Rhinolophus ferrumequinum: one gene and its partner. The protein of the gene in region 1 interacts with the protein of each later gene in a biochemical or structural test. Links are inferred from orthologs where the notes say so. Each region holds a gene or a part of one and is shown in the gene's direction. Other genes may lie near its edges.

Evidence for each region. The genes of interacting proteins can lie anywhere in the genome.
Region 2: of the proteins of RIGI (region 1) and RNF125, one has a biochemical effect on the other in vitro, tested with the Homo sapiens proteins (3 studies listed by BioGRID and IntAct, with this or other methods). The link is inferred for Rhinolophus ferrumequinum from reciprocal best matches to the Homo sapiens genes RIGI and RNF125.

The regions. Positions count from the first base shown.
Region 1 is NC_046295.1:49,873,518-49,882,141, reverse strand, and holds the start of RIGI (antiviral innate immune response receptor RIG-I), read left to right. Parts: upstream 1-5,212; 5' UTR 5,213-5,307; coding exon 5,308-5,413; intron 5,414-8,624.
Region 2 is NC_046302.1:26,751,463-26,759,095, forward strand, and holds the start of RNF125 (E3 ubiquitin-protein ligase RNF125), read left to right. Parts: upstream 1-3,991; 5' UTR 3,992-4,343; coding exon 4,344-4,507; intron 4,508-7,633. UniProt on the Homo sapiens protein: E3 ubiquitin-protein ligase that mediates ubiquitination and subsequent proteasomal degradation of target proteins, such as RIGI, MAVS/IPS1, IFIH1/MDA5, JAK1 and p53/TP53.

The DNA.
Region 1 (8,624 bases):
ATTTCAGAAAGAAAGGAAACAAAGGGGAAACGCTACAATTTGTATATAACTTTCACTCAACTCCTTAGCTGACCTTGAAACAAACATGCATGGGAGATTCCGAGGAGCCCAGGTAAGCAGTAGCTGGAAGGCTGAAAGAGCTCATCAGACATCAGCTGCCACCACAGGGAAAACAGAATTTGGAGTTACTGAGTTTCACCAACTTAACAAGGGCAGGGAAAACAGGGCTTTTCACTGAAACCCCTACTGAGCCACACCTTTGCAGTAAAGACCATGACCCAGGACTAAGGGATTCACCTTGCACTAAGGGCACAGCTGAACAGACCCACCACAATGTAAAACAAAGCTACAAATTCAAAATGAGTAGCTGGTAAATTATCATGCTAGAACAAAAGCAACACTCCCCAGTGTAAAATGATAGAATCTAGAGATTCTATAGCATAGCTATAATGTCCAGTATAAAACAAAATTACTAGACGTGAAGGTACCCATAGTCAAGAAAAAGCAGTTACAAAAAACATACTTTAAATAATCCACATGATGAAATTAGAAGACAAAGACTTTAAAGACGCTATTAGAAATATGTACATGAACTTAAAAGAGGGTTATATTAATGAACAGATGGAGGTTCTCAGCTGAGAAATAGAAAAAGAAGCAACGAAAGTCTCCAAATTTTTAAAAACAGTATTTGAAATGAAAAATTCACTGTAAGCCTTACCAATACATTGGAGAAGCCAGAAGGGAAATGACTTCAGATAGAAACCGGTATTTACAGATAAGAATGAATATCACCCGAAGTGGTAAATAGATGGGAAAATAGAAAAGACTATAATTTTCTTATTTAAAAGACAACTGACTTTTTACAATAAAGTTTGTAACATTGTATTATGTGGTTCGTTAGATCTAGAGAAGTAAAAATTATGACTAGCACAAAGGATGGACTGGGGTAGATGGCATTATGTGGTTGCAAGGATCTTAAATTTTACCTGGTACGATACAATAATTCTAAGTAGACTGATAAAATCTAAGGATGAGAGAGAGGCATGTAGCTAAAAGAATACAGTCATGGGCTCATGACAATGTATAGTCAACAATGGTCTACATATATGACGGGTCCCATAAGATTGTAATGGAGTTGAAAACTTCGTATTGTCTAGGGATGTCATAGTTGTAACATTGGAGCACAATGCATTCTTGTGATGCTGGTGTAAACAAACCTGCGCTGCCAGTCATATAAAATGATAGCATATACAATCTTGTACAGTGTGTACTAATGATAAATGACTGTGGCTAGTTTTTGTATTTACTGCACTATATATTTTAGGGTGCACTCTTTCTACTTATATAAAAAAAGTTTGCTGTAAAACAATATGTTGTGTTATACCAGCAGCAGCCTCATCCAGCTTGTGTTTACTGTGTCTCTTGATGGCATCCTTTTCTCTAGTGCTTGATTTAATCTCGTGTTGTTTTGTACAGTAACATGTTGCATAGGCTTGTAGCATAGGAGCAACAGGCTATACCATGTAGCTTAGGTGTGTTATAGATTATACCATCTAGGTTTGTGTAAGTGCATTCTATGATGTTCGCACAATGATAAAATTGCCTGACAAGGCATTTCTCAGAACTTACCCCATTGTTAAGCGGCATGTGACTGTGCAGAGAATTATAGCTAAAAGAGAAAAGTAATGTACATGATTAACCCAAATTGAAGGAATATAGGAACAAAGGAACAAAATTGGATGAAACAAACAGTAAACTTGCTGTTTTAAGCTCATGTCAATAACTAAATGTAAATGGATTTACTGCTCCAATTTAAAGCCAGAGATTATCAGACTGGATACAATAAAGGAAGACTCAACTATAAGCTGTATACTAGAGATGTGCTTTAAATATTAGAAGACGTTGAAAGCAATAGGATGGAAAAAGATATACCATGAAAACAGTAACCATAAGAAAGCTGTTACAGGTATAGTACTTTGACATAACAAGCATTAACAGAGACAAAAGAGACATTTCATAATGATAAAAGGCATAATTTATCAGGAAAATACAACCTTAAATGTGTCTGTATCTAATAACAGCTATAAAATTTATGATGCAAAAACTGATAAAACAAAAGGGACAAGTGGACAAATCAATAATCATAGTTGGAGATTTTAACAACCCCTCGCAGTACTTGACAAAACAAATAGAAAATTAGTAAGGATATAGGTGACTTGAACCACACTATAACTCAACCTGAATAATTGACATGTATAAGAACATTACACCCAAGAACTGCAGAATACACATTCTTCTTAAGTGTATCTGGGACATATATCGAGATAGTCCATATGCTGGGCCGTAAAACAAGTTTCAACAAATTTCGAAAGGTTGAAATCTTACAACATATTAAACTGATCACAACAGATTAAAATCAGAAATCAGTAACCCTCAAATGTTGAGGAAATTCCCAATATTTGAAAAATAAACATCATACTTCTCAATTAACTCATAGGTTAAAAAATCACAAGGATATTAGAAATTATTTCAAATGGAATGACATTGAAAACCATATATCAAAATTGATGGGATGTTAGAACTTATCAGCTGACAAAAGGGAAATTTATAGCCTCAAATGCTTACATTGGAAAAGAAAATGTAAAATCAGTGATCAAAACTTCTACCTTAACAACCTAGTAAAGGAAGAGCAAATTAAACCTAAAGTGGGAGAAAAGAATAATGATTAGAGCGGAAATCAATGAAATAGAAAATAGAGTAACAATTTTGAAAAGCTAAAGCCAAAGTTGGTTTTTGAAAAGATAAATAAAATTGGTAAATTCCTGGCAAGACTGATTTTTTAAAAAAGGTATAGGATAAGGAATATCATGAACAACTTTTTGCCAGTAAATGTAATAACTTAGAGGAAATGGTCAAATTCCTTGAAAAGCACAACTTACCAAAATTGATTTGAGATCAAATAAAAAAGCAGAATAGCCTATGTCTAGTACAGAAATTGAATAGTTATAAACAATCTTCAAAGAAAGAAAACTCCAAGCCTTAATGGTTTCGTTTGTGGATTCTGTTAAATGTTTCGGAAAGAAATGATACCAGTCTTACACGAACTCGTGTAGGAGGCCAGCATAACCCTGACATTACAAGAAAAGAAACTTACAGACCAATATCCCTTATGAACATAGATACAAAAATATTAGCAAATTGAATCCAGAAATATATATTAAAAAGGATGCTACATCATGACCAAATGGACTTTTTCCCAGGAATTCTAGGTTGGTTTAATACTCAGGAAAAAAAATCAATGAAATTCAGGTATACTAACAATATATGATCACCACAATAGATGCAAAAAAAAAAAAATTGAAAAATTCAATACTCATTCATGATAAATACTCTGAGTAAACCAGGAATAAAAGAAGATCAATCTGATAAAAGGCATCTAAAAAAAACCTACAGCCAACATTGTAATTAAAGTGAAACATGGATCGTTTTCCCACTGAGATTACTATAAGATAAGGGTGTCAACTCTTCACCACTTATATTCAACATTTTATTGGAGATCATAGGTTGTGCAATAAGGAAACAAAAGGCATAAAGATTGGAAAGGAAAAAGTAAAAACCATGTGTTGACAAAGGATATGATTGTTTACCTAGCAAAGTTTAAGGAATCTACAGAACAATTATGAGACCTAATAAGTGAATTTATCAGTGTTGTATAAAACGAGGTCAAGAAACAGAACATTTGTATTTCTATATACTAACAATTTCAAAATTAAACTTTAAAAATAATTCCATTTAGAGTAGCATCAAAGAACATGAAATGTTAAGATTTAACAGATAGGTATAAAAACACTACTCTTAAAACTCTAAAATATCTCTGAGAAATTAAAGACAAATAAATGAAAAATTAAAGACCTAAGTAAATGAATTCATGGATTAGAATTCAATATTGTTAATATGTCAGTTCTCCCCTAGTTCATTTGTAGGATCAATGCAGTCCTGATCACAGTCTCAATAGGCCTGTGTGTGTGTGTGTGTGTGTGTGTGAACTGACAAGTTGATTCTTATGTCATAGGGAAATGCAAAGAGCCTGGAATAGCCAACACAGTCTTTACAAAGAAGAATAAAACAGTATCAGCAAATAAATGAAACACGAGTTAAAAATAGACCTGCACACATACAGTCAATTGATTCTTTTGACAAAGATGCCAAGGCTATTCAGTGGGAGAAGGAAAATTTTTCAACAAATGAAACAATTTGTGCTGGAACAATTAGAAGTATGGTGAAAAAAATGAAGCCTTGACCCCTACCTCACACCAAAACAAAATTAATTTGAGATGATCATAGACCTAAATGTAAAAGCTAAGAACACAAAGACTCTAAAAGAAAACACAAAATATCTTCATGACCTTGGACTAGGTAGAGAGTTATTAAAGAGAACACAAAAATCAGTAAACAAAAGAAAAAAACTAATAAATTAGGTTTCACCAAAATAAACTTCTACTCAAATGACACCTTTAAGAAAATGAAATGGTAAGTCACAGACTGGGAGAAGATATTTGAAATACATGTATTTGACAATGAGTTTGTATCCAGTAAATTAAAAACTTGCAAATCCATAACGCAAAGAAAAACCACTCAATCAGGCAAAAGATTGGAGCAGATATTCACAAAAAAAGATACATGAATGGCGAATAAGTATATGCAAATGTGCCCAATATCATCATTTGAGGAATTAAAATTAAAACCACAGTAATAGGTCATTTCATACCAACCAAGGTGGCAAACAAAACTGACCAGTGTCTGTATTTACTGGATGTGTATTTATTGGAGCTCTCTACCGGTGGGAATGCAAAATGGTAAGGCCATTTTGGAAGAGGTTGCAGTTTCCTGTCAAGTTAAACATACGCTTACACTTACCTTAGGGCGCACACAACCTGGGGCAAGTGGTTCCACTCCATGCAGTTTTCAAAACTCAGAATTGTACACTTCAAATCTGTGCACTATATTGAATCTCAATTTTACCGCTATAAAAGCAAAACAAAAAAGTAAGATAACATGAAAATCAAAAAAGCGACGCCCGCAGGCGTCGGCCAGCGAGCGCCAACGGGTGGGTAAAGCAAGCTGCGGGAGAGGAAACGAAACCAAGCGGGGACAGGGAGGCGGGGCGGCTGTGTCCTTTGGTAACCCAGCCTCCGCGGCCCGGCCGGGCTAGTAGTTGCAGTTTCGTTTTTCGGGAAAATCCCTCCCGGTTCTCTGCGGGCTCCCGGGGAGTGGAGCGCAGGTGAGACGGGAAGTCGAGCTGCCGCTATGACGGCCGAGGAGCGGCGGAATCTGCACGCTTTCCAAAACTATGTCACGAAGATTCTGGACCCTACCTACATCCTGAGCTACATGGCCCCCTGGTTTAAGGAGGGTGAGTGGTCCCCAGCGGCGCCCGCCTCTTGGGGCCGGAAAACAATTCAGGACGTGTTTTCCTTTACTTCCCCCCTCCACCCTTCTTTTAATCAATATAGGTAGCCTGCTGGGAACGCAAGATCCATCCATGTTGTCACAAATGTTTCTGTTTCTATATCATCTTTTCTTACCACCGAATAGTATTCCATTGTGTATATATACCACGACTTCTTTATCCATTCATCTATGGAAGGACATTTTGGTTGTTTCCATGTCTTGGCCACCGTAAACAAAGCTGCAGTGAACATTGGAGTACACTTGTCTTTATATATAAATGTTTTCAGATTTTTCGGGTAGATACCCAGGAGAGGGATTGCTGGGTCATATGGTAATTCTATTCATAATTGTTTGAGGAACCTCCACACTGCCTTCCATAATGGCTGCACCAATCTGCATTCCCACCAACAGTGGATAAGGGTTCCTTTTTCTCCACAGCCTCTCCAACACTTGTTACTATTTGTCTTGTTGATGTATAGCCATTCTGACTGGGGTGAGCTGATATCTCATTGTGGTTTTTATTTGCATTTCTCTGATGATTAGTGATGTTGAGCATTTTTTCATATGTCTATTTGCCATTTGTATGTCCTCTTTGGAGAAATGTCTCTTCAGGTCGTCTGCCCATTTTTCACTTGGGTTGTTTGTTTTTTAGTTGTTGAGTTTCATGAGTTCCTTGTATATTTTGGATATTAGCCCCTTATTGGAGGGACTGTTTGCAAAAATCATCTCCCATTCAGTTGGTTGCCTTTTTATTTTGTCGATAGTTTCTTTTGCTGTGCAGAAGAAGCTTTTAAGTTTCATATAGTCCCATTCGTTTATTTTAGCTTTTACTTCCCTTGCCTTTGGAGTCAAATTCATAAAATGCTCTTTGAACCCAAGGTCCATAAGTTTAGTACCTGTGTTTTCTTCTATGCAGTTTATTGTTTCAGGTCTTATGCTTAAGTCTTTGATCCATTTTGAATTAATTTTGGTACATGGTGACAGCAGTCCAATTTCATTCTTTTGCACGTGGATATCCAGTTCTGCCAGCACCATTTATTGAAGAGGCTGTCTTTTCTCCATTGTATGTTTTTTGCTTCTTTGTCAAAAATTATCTGTCCATATTTATGTGGTTTTATTTCTGGGTTCTCAATTTTATTCCATTGGTCTATATGTCTGTTTTTCTGCCAATACCATGCTGTTTTGATTATTGTAGACTTGTAGTACAAGCTAAAGTCAGGGAGTGTAATACCTCCAGTATTGTTCTTTTTTCTTAAGATTGCTTTGGCTATTCAGGGTCTTTTGTGGTTCCAAACAAATCTGATCATTTTTTGTTCTATTTCTTTAAAAAATTCCATTGGGATTTTGATGGGGATTGCATTAAATCTGTATATTGCTTTGGGTAATATGGCCATTTTAACTATGTTGATTCTTCCAATCCATGAGCATGGAATGTCTTTCCATTTCTTTGTGTCTTCTTCAATTTCTTTTAAAAATGTCTTCTAGTTTTCAGCATATAGATCTTTCACATCCTTGGTTAAAGAATAAAAGGTATTTTATTCTTTTTGCTGCAATTGCAAAAGGAATTGTTTTTTGTATTTCTTTTTCTGCGATTTCATTGTTAGTGTATAGGAATGCAATGGACTTTTGTACGTTGATTTTGTAGCCGGCAACTTTACTGTATTCGTTGATTGTTTCTAATAGCTTTTTGGTGGAGTCTTCAGGGTTTTCTATATATAGCATCTTGTCATCTGCAAAGAGTGATAATTTAACTTCTTCATTCCCAATTTGGATGTCTTTTATTTCTTTCTCTTGCCTGATTGCTCTGGCAAGGACTTCCAACACTATGTTGAAAAGCAGAGGTGATAGGGGACAGCCCTGTCGTGTTCCTGAACATAGAGCAAAGGGCTTCAGTTTTTCACCATTAATTATGAGATTAGCTGAGGGTTTGTCATATATGGCCTTTATTATGTTAAGGTATTTTCCTTCTATACCTATTTTATTAAGTGTTTTTTAATCATAAATGGATGTTGTATCTTGTCAAATGCTTTTTCTGCATCAATTGATATAATCATATGATTTTTGTCCTTTATTTTGTTTATGTGATGTATCACATTGATGGATTTGCAGATGTTGAACCATCCTTGTGCTCCGGGGATGAACCCCACATGGTTGTGATGAATAATCTTTTTAATGCATTGTTGTATTCGATTTGCCAGAATTTTGTTTAGGATTTTTGCATCTGTATTCATCAGAGATATTGGTCTGTAGTTTTCTTTTTTTGTGTTGTCTTTACCAGATTCTGGTATCAGGGTAATGTTGGCCTCACAAAATGAGTTAGGGAGTACTGTCTCTTCAGTTTTTTGGAAGAGTTTGAGCAGGATTGGTATTAGATCCTCTTTGAAGGTTTGGTAGAATTCACTAGTGAAGCCATCCGGTCCAGGACTTTTGCTTTTGGGAAGGTTTTGGATGACTGATTCAATTTCGTTACTGGTGATCGGTCTGTTTAGATTTTCCAGTTCTTCATGGTTCAGCCTAGGAAGGCTATGTTTCTAAGAATTTGTCCATTTCTTCTAGATTATTGAATTTGGTGGCATATAGTCCTTCATAGTATTCTTGGATGATCCTTTATATTTCTGTGGTATCCGTGATAACTTCCCCTTTTTCATTTCTGATTTTGTTAATTAGTGTCTTCTCTCTTTTTATCTTAGTGTGTCTAGCCAAGGGTTTATCAATTTTATTAATCTTTTCAAAGAACCAGCTCTTTGTCACATTAATTTTTTCTTTTATCTTTTTGTTCTCTATTTCATTTAGTTCTGCTCTGATTTTTGTTATTTCCTTTCTTCTGCTGACTTTCGGTTTCATTTGTTCTTCTTTTTCTAGTTCTTTAAGGTGTAACATGAGGTTATTTATTTGGGATTTTTCTTGTTTCTTGAGATAGGCCTGTAATGATATAAATTTCCCTCTTAAAACTGCTTTCGCTGCATCCCAAAAATTTTGGTAGGATGTATTTTCATTGTCATTTGCTTCTATGTATCTTTTGATCGCTCCTCTAATTTCTTCTTTGACCCAGTCGTTCTTTAAAAGTATGTTGTTTAATCTCCATGTATTTGTGTTTTTTCCTGCTGTCTTTTTGCAGTTGATATCCAATTTCAAAGTCTTGTGATCAGAGAATATGCTTGGTATGATTTCAG
Region 2 (7,633 bases), on another chromosome or scaffold:
AATTTACTACACTTTAAGAAAACATTTCCCTATTATGGACATTTAGATTTCCTCTAAGGTTTTGGTACTAAAACAAACTTCAAAGAATATAGGAATGTCTTTCTCATACTTTCAACACTACCTGAAATGGTAAATTCATTTCTTTTCATCACTCCTACAAGAAAATAAAGTTTTTTTTTGGTTTTTTTTTTCTGGCAGTTGTGCTCTCCTTTTGGTTTACTGAGAGATACATTAGCCTTCTTGATACCAGGGACATTGATTCTAGGGCTTTCAAATTTCCTTTGTACTAACCTATACTTCTGATGCCCTTCCGATCTTAGAGTCTGGATTGAGAATTTATTCTCTGGTGGATACCTTAATCATCATTATTGCCACCTTTATACGTTTATTAAGAGCCTTACAAATAATATCAGATGCTTACCTTTTATCTATCTTCCCAGGTCCCATTTTCCTGCATTATTTTATTTAATTTTATCTTATTCTTTTCTATGATTCTTCTCAAGTGCCATAGTGAAAAGCACATGGATTTTAAAAGATCTAGAATGAAAACATGATTCTGCCACTTACCATGTGACCTTTTGCTAAATTAAATTTTCTGAGGCTATAAAATGGGGACAATAATATCTACCCCATGAGATTAGTACTGACTTACACATATAAATATACACATCATCTCCTCCTACATGCCAGGTATTTTACATCTCTTATCTCTAACTTTTGGAGTAGCTAGGAGCAAAATATATAAATAGTAAGGCAAATAAATACAGCAGGCTATGAAAGAATCAAGGAGATAGTGTGAGATGGATGTGGTGTAAAAAGTCACCAAACTAAGACCTGAAATTTGAATTGGAACAAGTTGAGTGTGGCGAGTGTTAATAAAAAGTGCTATCAACAACAACAACACAAAAAGCAAACAACAAGAAAAGCATGGATAAAGATTCTGAGGACAGAAAGAACTCAGTACACTTAAGGAATTGAAAGAAGCAGAGAAATTCAGAACCATGCAGAATAAGGGAGAGAGTGATAGCAGATGGGGTCAAAAATGGTTATTTTGGGAGACCCTATTGTTGGCTTATCCATTGCCTTATCCTCTTCTTTCTTGGTAAAAGAACCCCAAATTATATTGTTCAGATAACTGAAAGGCCACACTCTGTGGGATAAATTATGAGTTGAAGCCAATCAGAGTACCCTTATTGCCTTTTGCTAATGACTGTTTAAGAATGGTCATTGGGCCCAATTTGGACCAATAAGATATAAGGGAACGTCTGCAGAAGAAGGCCTCATTTTCCTCCTACTTAAAAGGAGAGAGAGCTAGAAGAAGGAAACCCTATCTTTCCTTTCTGCTTTTTGGAGATTGTTGCGTATAGATGTGATTACTGGAACAGTGCCTGCCATCTTTCTGCCATGAGGAAGACACTGCTGATACACTGAGGATGGCAAGTGGCTGAGACCTTGAGGACATCATTGAACTGTTGTGCTGCTTACCTCTGGACTAATTTACCATATTTGATAGTAAATATCCTTATCAATTAAGGCACTTTCAGTTGAACTTCTATTCCCTGCCACTGAAGGTGTCCTAACTGATTATAGTGATTGAAAGAATTAAGATCTGCAGGGCTTCGTAAATCATGATAAGGATTTGGAATTTAATCCTAAGGGTTATGGAGAGCCATTAAAGTGTTTTGAGCATGGGGCAACATAAGATATTTGCTTTTCAAACGGTCACTTTAGTTGCAATGTGGATAATAGCTTGGTCAGTGTGGTAAAAGTGGGCGTAGGTGGAGCAGATAGGAACTATTGCAACAGGTCACACAAGAGGACACAATGATTTAAAGTATGTGGTAGTTGGCCATGGGAATAGTAGAAAATGAAACCATGCAAGAACTACTGAGAGAGAAAATGAGGCAGAATTCTGATTGTGACTGTGATTGATTTAATGTGAATGAGGAAGAGGAAGAAATCGAGGATGGCTTCAGATGTTTGGACTGAGCTACCAGTGCCACTAGCTACTAGTGCCATTTACTAAGAGAGATAAACAACTGGAGGTAGAACAGAGTTTACTATGATGACTTTTTACTGGACATGTTGAGCTGAAGGTGACTAATGCAACCAGGTTGGTATGTCAAGTAAATAGTTGGGTCTTTGAGTAGCCTAGAGTAGAGATAAATACTTGAATGTCTTCAGAATCTAGATGATTAACAGAATCTATGTGGTTTTGGAGATTCTTAAGGAAGGAATGAAGAATAAGAAGGGTAAAGAGCCTAAGACAGAATCTTTAGATCTCTAGCATTTAGCTTTCCCCTGGAGAAGGAGAAGCCAGTGAAGGAGACTGAGAAAGAACAGCCAGAAAGAAAAAGAGAGAGAGAGAGAGAGAGAGAGAGAGAGAGAGAGAGGAAGGAAGGAAGCCAAAGAGTTTTTCTATTATAAGGAGGGAGCAAATCAACACTGACAAATAAAATGTAATTGAGAAGTCAAGCAAGAAAAGGACAGAAAAGAATCTATTGGATTTAGCCACATGAAAACCACTCACTGGTGACATTGGGATTGAAGCAATTTTTGAACAGATGGAGGCTGAGTGGTTGGTTCAGAGTCCAGGTTGGACTGGATAAAGAGGGAATAATTAAGAAATTGAGACATAAATGTAGAGAATCAGGTCCAGAAATTTGGCCTAAAAGAGGACACAGGGCAGGAGCTGAGAGACATGTAGGGATCAAGGGAAGGTTTTGGTTTTTCTTTTAAAGATACCCAATTCATTAGCAAGCCCTTTTAGGTCTTTTGTCTAAATATATCCCGAACCTGTACACCTCTCACCTTCTACCCAGATAACTCCCTGGTACCAACCTTTATCATCCTCACTTAGACAAATTCAGTAGCCTCCTAACTGGTTTCTCTGCTTTCTTATTTTGTTCCTGTCTTTTTGAGCACACACAGCAGAGTAAATCAAATCACGGCACCTTGAATAAAATCCAAACTCCTGGACCTGGCCTGTAAGATTGGATACGCTCAGGCCTGTCTGCTACCTTATCTCATCCCATCTACGCGCGCTGGTCCCCGATGCTCTGGCTCCACACTGTTTCTGTGTTTTGTTCTTGCCTCACTCACTGTCCCCAGTGCTTAGCAAGCTTTTCCCTAAACCTTTGAATAGTTGACTCCTTTTTATTATTCATGACTCTGCTCAAATGTCACCTCATCCAAAAAGTCTCTGACCTTCTTATTCTCCCCCGCAGCCTCACTCCTTGTTTTATCTTTTTCATGGCTCTTATTATCTGAAATGATCTTGTTCACTTATTTATTTGTTGATTACTTACATCTTCTCTTTAAATTTAAGTCTGGCGGGAACTGGGTGAAGTTTACGGGATTTTAATGTATTATATGTGTGACTATATTATGTAGTATTGTATGTATGTATTGTATATATTATGTATTAGTATGTATTATTTCTTAATAAACATGTAAACTATAATGATCTCAAAATAAGTTTTCTTTTTAAGTACGTTCTATGAGAACCAGAGTTTTGTTTGCTTGTTGGGAACTGGGTTCCATCACCAGAATGGAGTCTGGCATGTAGTGGGCACTAAATAAGACTTATTAAATGTGTCAATTAATAAATGATATATTGGGTTATGTTTAAAAGAGTATGGGGCCGAGAATACAAACAACAGCAGGAGATCCTGAGTCGAGGAAACTAGTGATTGTAGAATTTAGCACTAGACATCTTGTCGTGGTGTTGGCTTTCGAATGTAGGTCTTCAGAGCTCTTTCCACTACCCCACGCTACCTCTCCATTAATGGGGTACTGACTGAAGTAGTGAATAGCACTGTCTTAAGAGATGCTCAATCATCATACATCTTTGTAGCTTATTGTGATTACAACAGTGCAGGACTGCTAGGACCACCACCTTACAAGGGGGTGTGCCCTGATTCCCATAAAGTATAACCAGGCCCGCGCTTTCCTTAACTGTGGGGGAGGAGGATTGCACGATAGCCTGGAAAGTTCACTGCCCAACCAGGTCCTCTGCTCTGCAGTTGAGGTTTCAGGTTTCAATCCTCGTAGGACTACGAGACTTTACAGCGTGAACCGTACAGCTGCCGCCTCCGCCTCCGCGCCTCAACCAAGGCAACGAGCAAAAGGCAATTTCAGACGCTCTGCCGCGCTCTCGGCCTGCCCTAGGCCGAGGTTGGGCGCTGCGACCGAGGAGGCTGCATCTAGGCTGCGGTTGCTGCGCGCGCTGGGAGGCGGCGATCACAGCTGGGCCGGGACTTCCTTCCTCCACCGCAGGACAACAAAACAACCCGGCAGCAGGCACTGAGCTCTTGGCAGCTGTCTGGGTAAGAGGATCAGCGATGGGCTCGGTGTTAAGCAGCGATAGCGGCAAATCCTCACCCGCCTCAGCCACCCCGCGGGCCCTGGAACGCAGGAGGGACACCGAGCTGCCCATCACGTCCTTCGACTGCTCGGTGTGCCTTGAGGTGTTGCACCAACCTGTCCGGACCCGCTGTGGCCACGTGTAAGTGCCAGGGGAGCTCGGTTTGCGCGCCCATCCCCGAGGGCGGGCGACGTTGGGGGAGCCCAAGGCCTGGGAAGGGGAGTTCAGAAACCAGCGCTTGAGGGAAACTACTGCAGGGAGAAATCTGGACCCTTTGAGTGCGAGCCACGGGAAAAAATGCCCAACCTGAAGGTGGACACAGGATTAAGGGAGAAAGCAGCAACAAGGGGACGCTGCAGTCCCCCTAGAACTGCCTCCTCCCAAAGTTTGGTGCGGAGCCCCGGAGATGGGGATCCCTGGCACGGGACCCGCAGAGAACCAGGGCTAGCCACCTGGCTGAAGAGGTTGAAATTGGCAGGAGAACCAGCACCTGCCTGTGCACTAAGCAGTGGGCTTCCGCACAGCGGTTATCCGGCTGAACTCGGTTAATCCGGAGGGTCTTGCCTCCGCCCCCAGGTCGGTTTTGTTTTGGTGGCTGTGTGCACGTGTTCCAGAACGCCCGCCGAGGCTCGCCTCTTGAGCAAACAAGGACCTGTGCAAACTCTTTCCACCCCTAACTTCCCCTCCCTTTCCCAACACAGACACCCAGATCCCTCCAAAATCGTCTAGTTAAACTGGAACGTCCAAGTGACTTTCCGTAGTCGTTCGAGTTCAACAACCTGTCAGGGTGGGGTCTGGGGCTGCACCAAGCCCGTGAGTGGAGCCGTTTAAAACCCAGCCACTGAGTGACAAGAGGTTGCAGATTACCTGTTTTACGCACAGCCTCCCCGAAACAATACATAGTTTAGATAAAATTAACTATCTTAAAAATCACGTGCTATTTAAGATTCGCCGTTGGCGCACAACCATGCTAGTTTCTAAGAAGAGTTTAAAAACAAAATCTCTGTATAAAATTGGCACGTTCTTAATGCCTTCTCGAGTAGTGGCAGGAGTTGGGTCTGCGCATTTGTGTTTGTTTACTTAGAGTTTGTTTGCTTAGAAGCTTTCTTTTCATGGACGCACGGGTGTGTGACTGTGTGTGTGTGTGTGTGTGTGTGTGTGTCAGTGTGTCAGGGAGATTACAAAGAAAAAGAGCGGAAACCCACTTAATGTCTTTTTTGGACGGCTCACTACCTATAGCTTGAGGAAGCGCCTGGGGGATACCGCAGTAAGTGCTTTTGGCTGGGGGTGGGGGGAGTTGTAGAGGGGGGAATAGAACCATATTCTAAGTGCAAGTACACAAAATGTTTTTTCAAGGACTTACTTAGGTGGTCCTTGACACCTGTAGCCTAGTACCTGAGAAGTCGTTTTCACCACTGAAAAGCCCAGCAGTGAGCCAAGGGAGAAGAATCTGCCATTCACACAATGTTGAAATAAAGCGTGCCTTGGGCATTATTCTGTAACTGTATTCAGGACTTGTTGTTTCAGTTTTGTACTTTAAACCCAAGACTAATTTACCTCCCGTCTGTTTACTGATGTTGTTTCTCAGCTGTCCAGAAGTAGCTCACTGGCAGACCATTGCCAGGCCAATATGGAAGCCAAGATGTTGTGTAACAGTATAAAATACATTGATTAGTTCCAGGCAGTAATGACCTCATTTAAATTTAGTCTGTATTAGCATTACAACTTTCAAGTTGGGCCAAAGATGCACAGTAGGCATCAAGTCTTGAAGATTCTTTTTGTAGAACTGAAATGGGAAGTTTTGCTATTGCATATTGAAGATTGTTAATGTTTGGAGATTGTTTTCCCTGGTTTAACTTACTGTGTGCAGTGCTTTGGCTTCTGCTAAAGGATAATATAAATTTGCAAAATGTTAAATCTTGTTTAATCTTTTTCTTTGTTAGACTGAATAGGAAACCAGCAACTGGAAAAATAGTCATGAAGTTTAACAACAAGGGCTGGACCGAGTGGCCTTCCTTCACTTTACTGTTCTTTGTTTTGACAAATCTATGTCCATTGTTCTGGCTGTGGGCAGAATTTCCATATCCCTCCTTTTGGCAAAATTACTTGGGCCCCTTCCATTTTATAAATGTTTAATTAGAGCTCTTTCAGCACTGGCGGTGGTGAGCTCTGTTAACACCATTTGTACTTCCTAAATCAATTTCTGTCTTCCATTGAACTTAAATTTGGAAAATGAAGACATGCAAATGAGCCTCTCTATATTATCTCTTATTGAAGATGCTAATGTTCAAATTTGTTGAACTAGATCATTTACGCTAATTTCTGTGTATAAACCTATTTCAAGTCAAACGAGTATAATAATGGCAACAATACCTTGAATGAATATGTATATAGCACTTTATAAATTGAATTATGATGCAGTAGAAACCTTGGGCTTCCCTGGGCTTGATAGAAAGCCCGGGATTTGAAATTCATTTCTGCCACTAACCAGTTCTGTGACCAAGATGTTCCTTAATCTCATTGAATCTGTTTCTTCATTTGTAAAATAGGGTGGATAATGGAATTTTTATGAGTATTTAGTGTAAAAGTAGCCCATAATGAAGGCTCAAAATATAGTTTCTATTTCCTTCAAAGCCATTCCACAAAGCGAAAAACCCATGAACAGGTATTTTTTAGCTCTATATTTCCTTTGGAATAAAACTGGGCCACGATATTACAGCACCATACACAATAGCCAAGACATGGAAACAAGCGAAATGCCCATCGGTAGACGACTGGATTAAGAAACTGTGGTACATTTATACAATGGAGTATTACGCAGCCATAAAGAAGCATGAAATCTTACCATTCGCAACAATATGGACGGACCTAGAGAACGTTATGTTAAGTGAAATAAGTCAGACAGAGAAAGACAAATACCATATGATCTTACTTATATGTGAAATCTAAAGAAAAGAATAAATGAATGAACTAATCAGAAACAGTCAGAGACATAGAGGAAAACCTGAGGGTTGCTAGATGGGAGGGGGGTGGGGATAAGGGAGAAGGTGAGGGGATTAGAAAGCACAGTCGGTAACCACAAGATTGCCACAGGGTTACGAAAGTCAGCTTGGGGAATGTAATAAATGTAAAGATTTTGTAGGGTATCCGATGGACACTTGTCTCATTAGGGAGACCACCTCAGGGATGGTGTAGATGCCTGATCACTGCACTGTACACCTGAAGCTGAAGCTGAAGCTGAACAATAATGAATGTCAACTACAATTT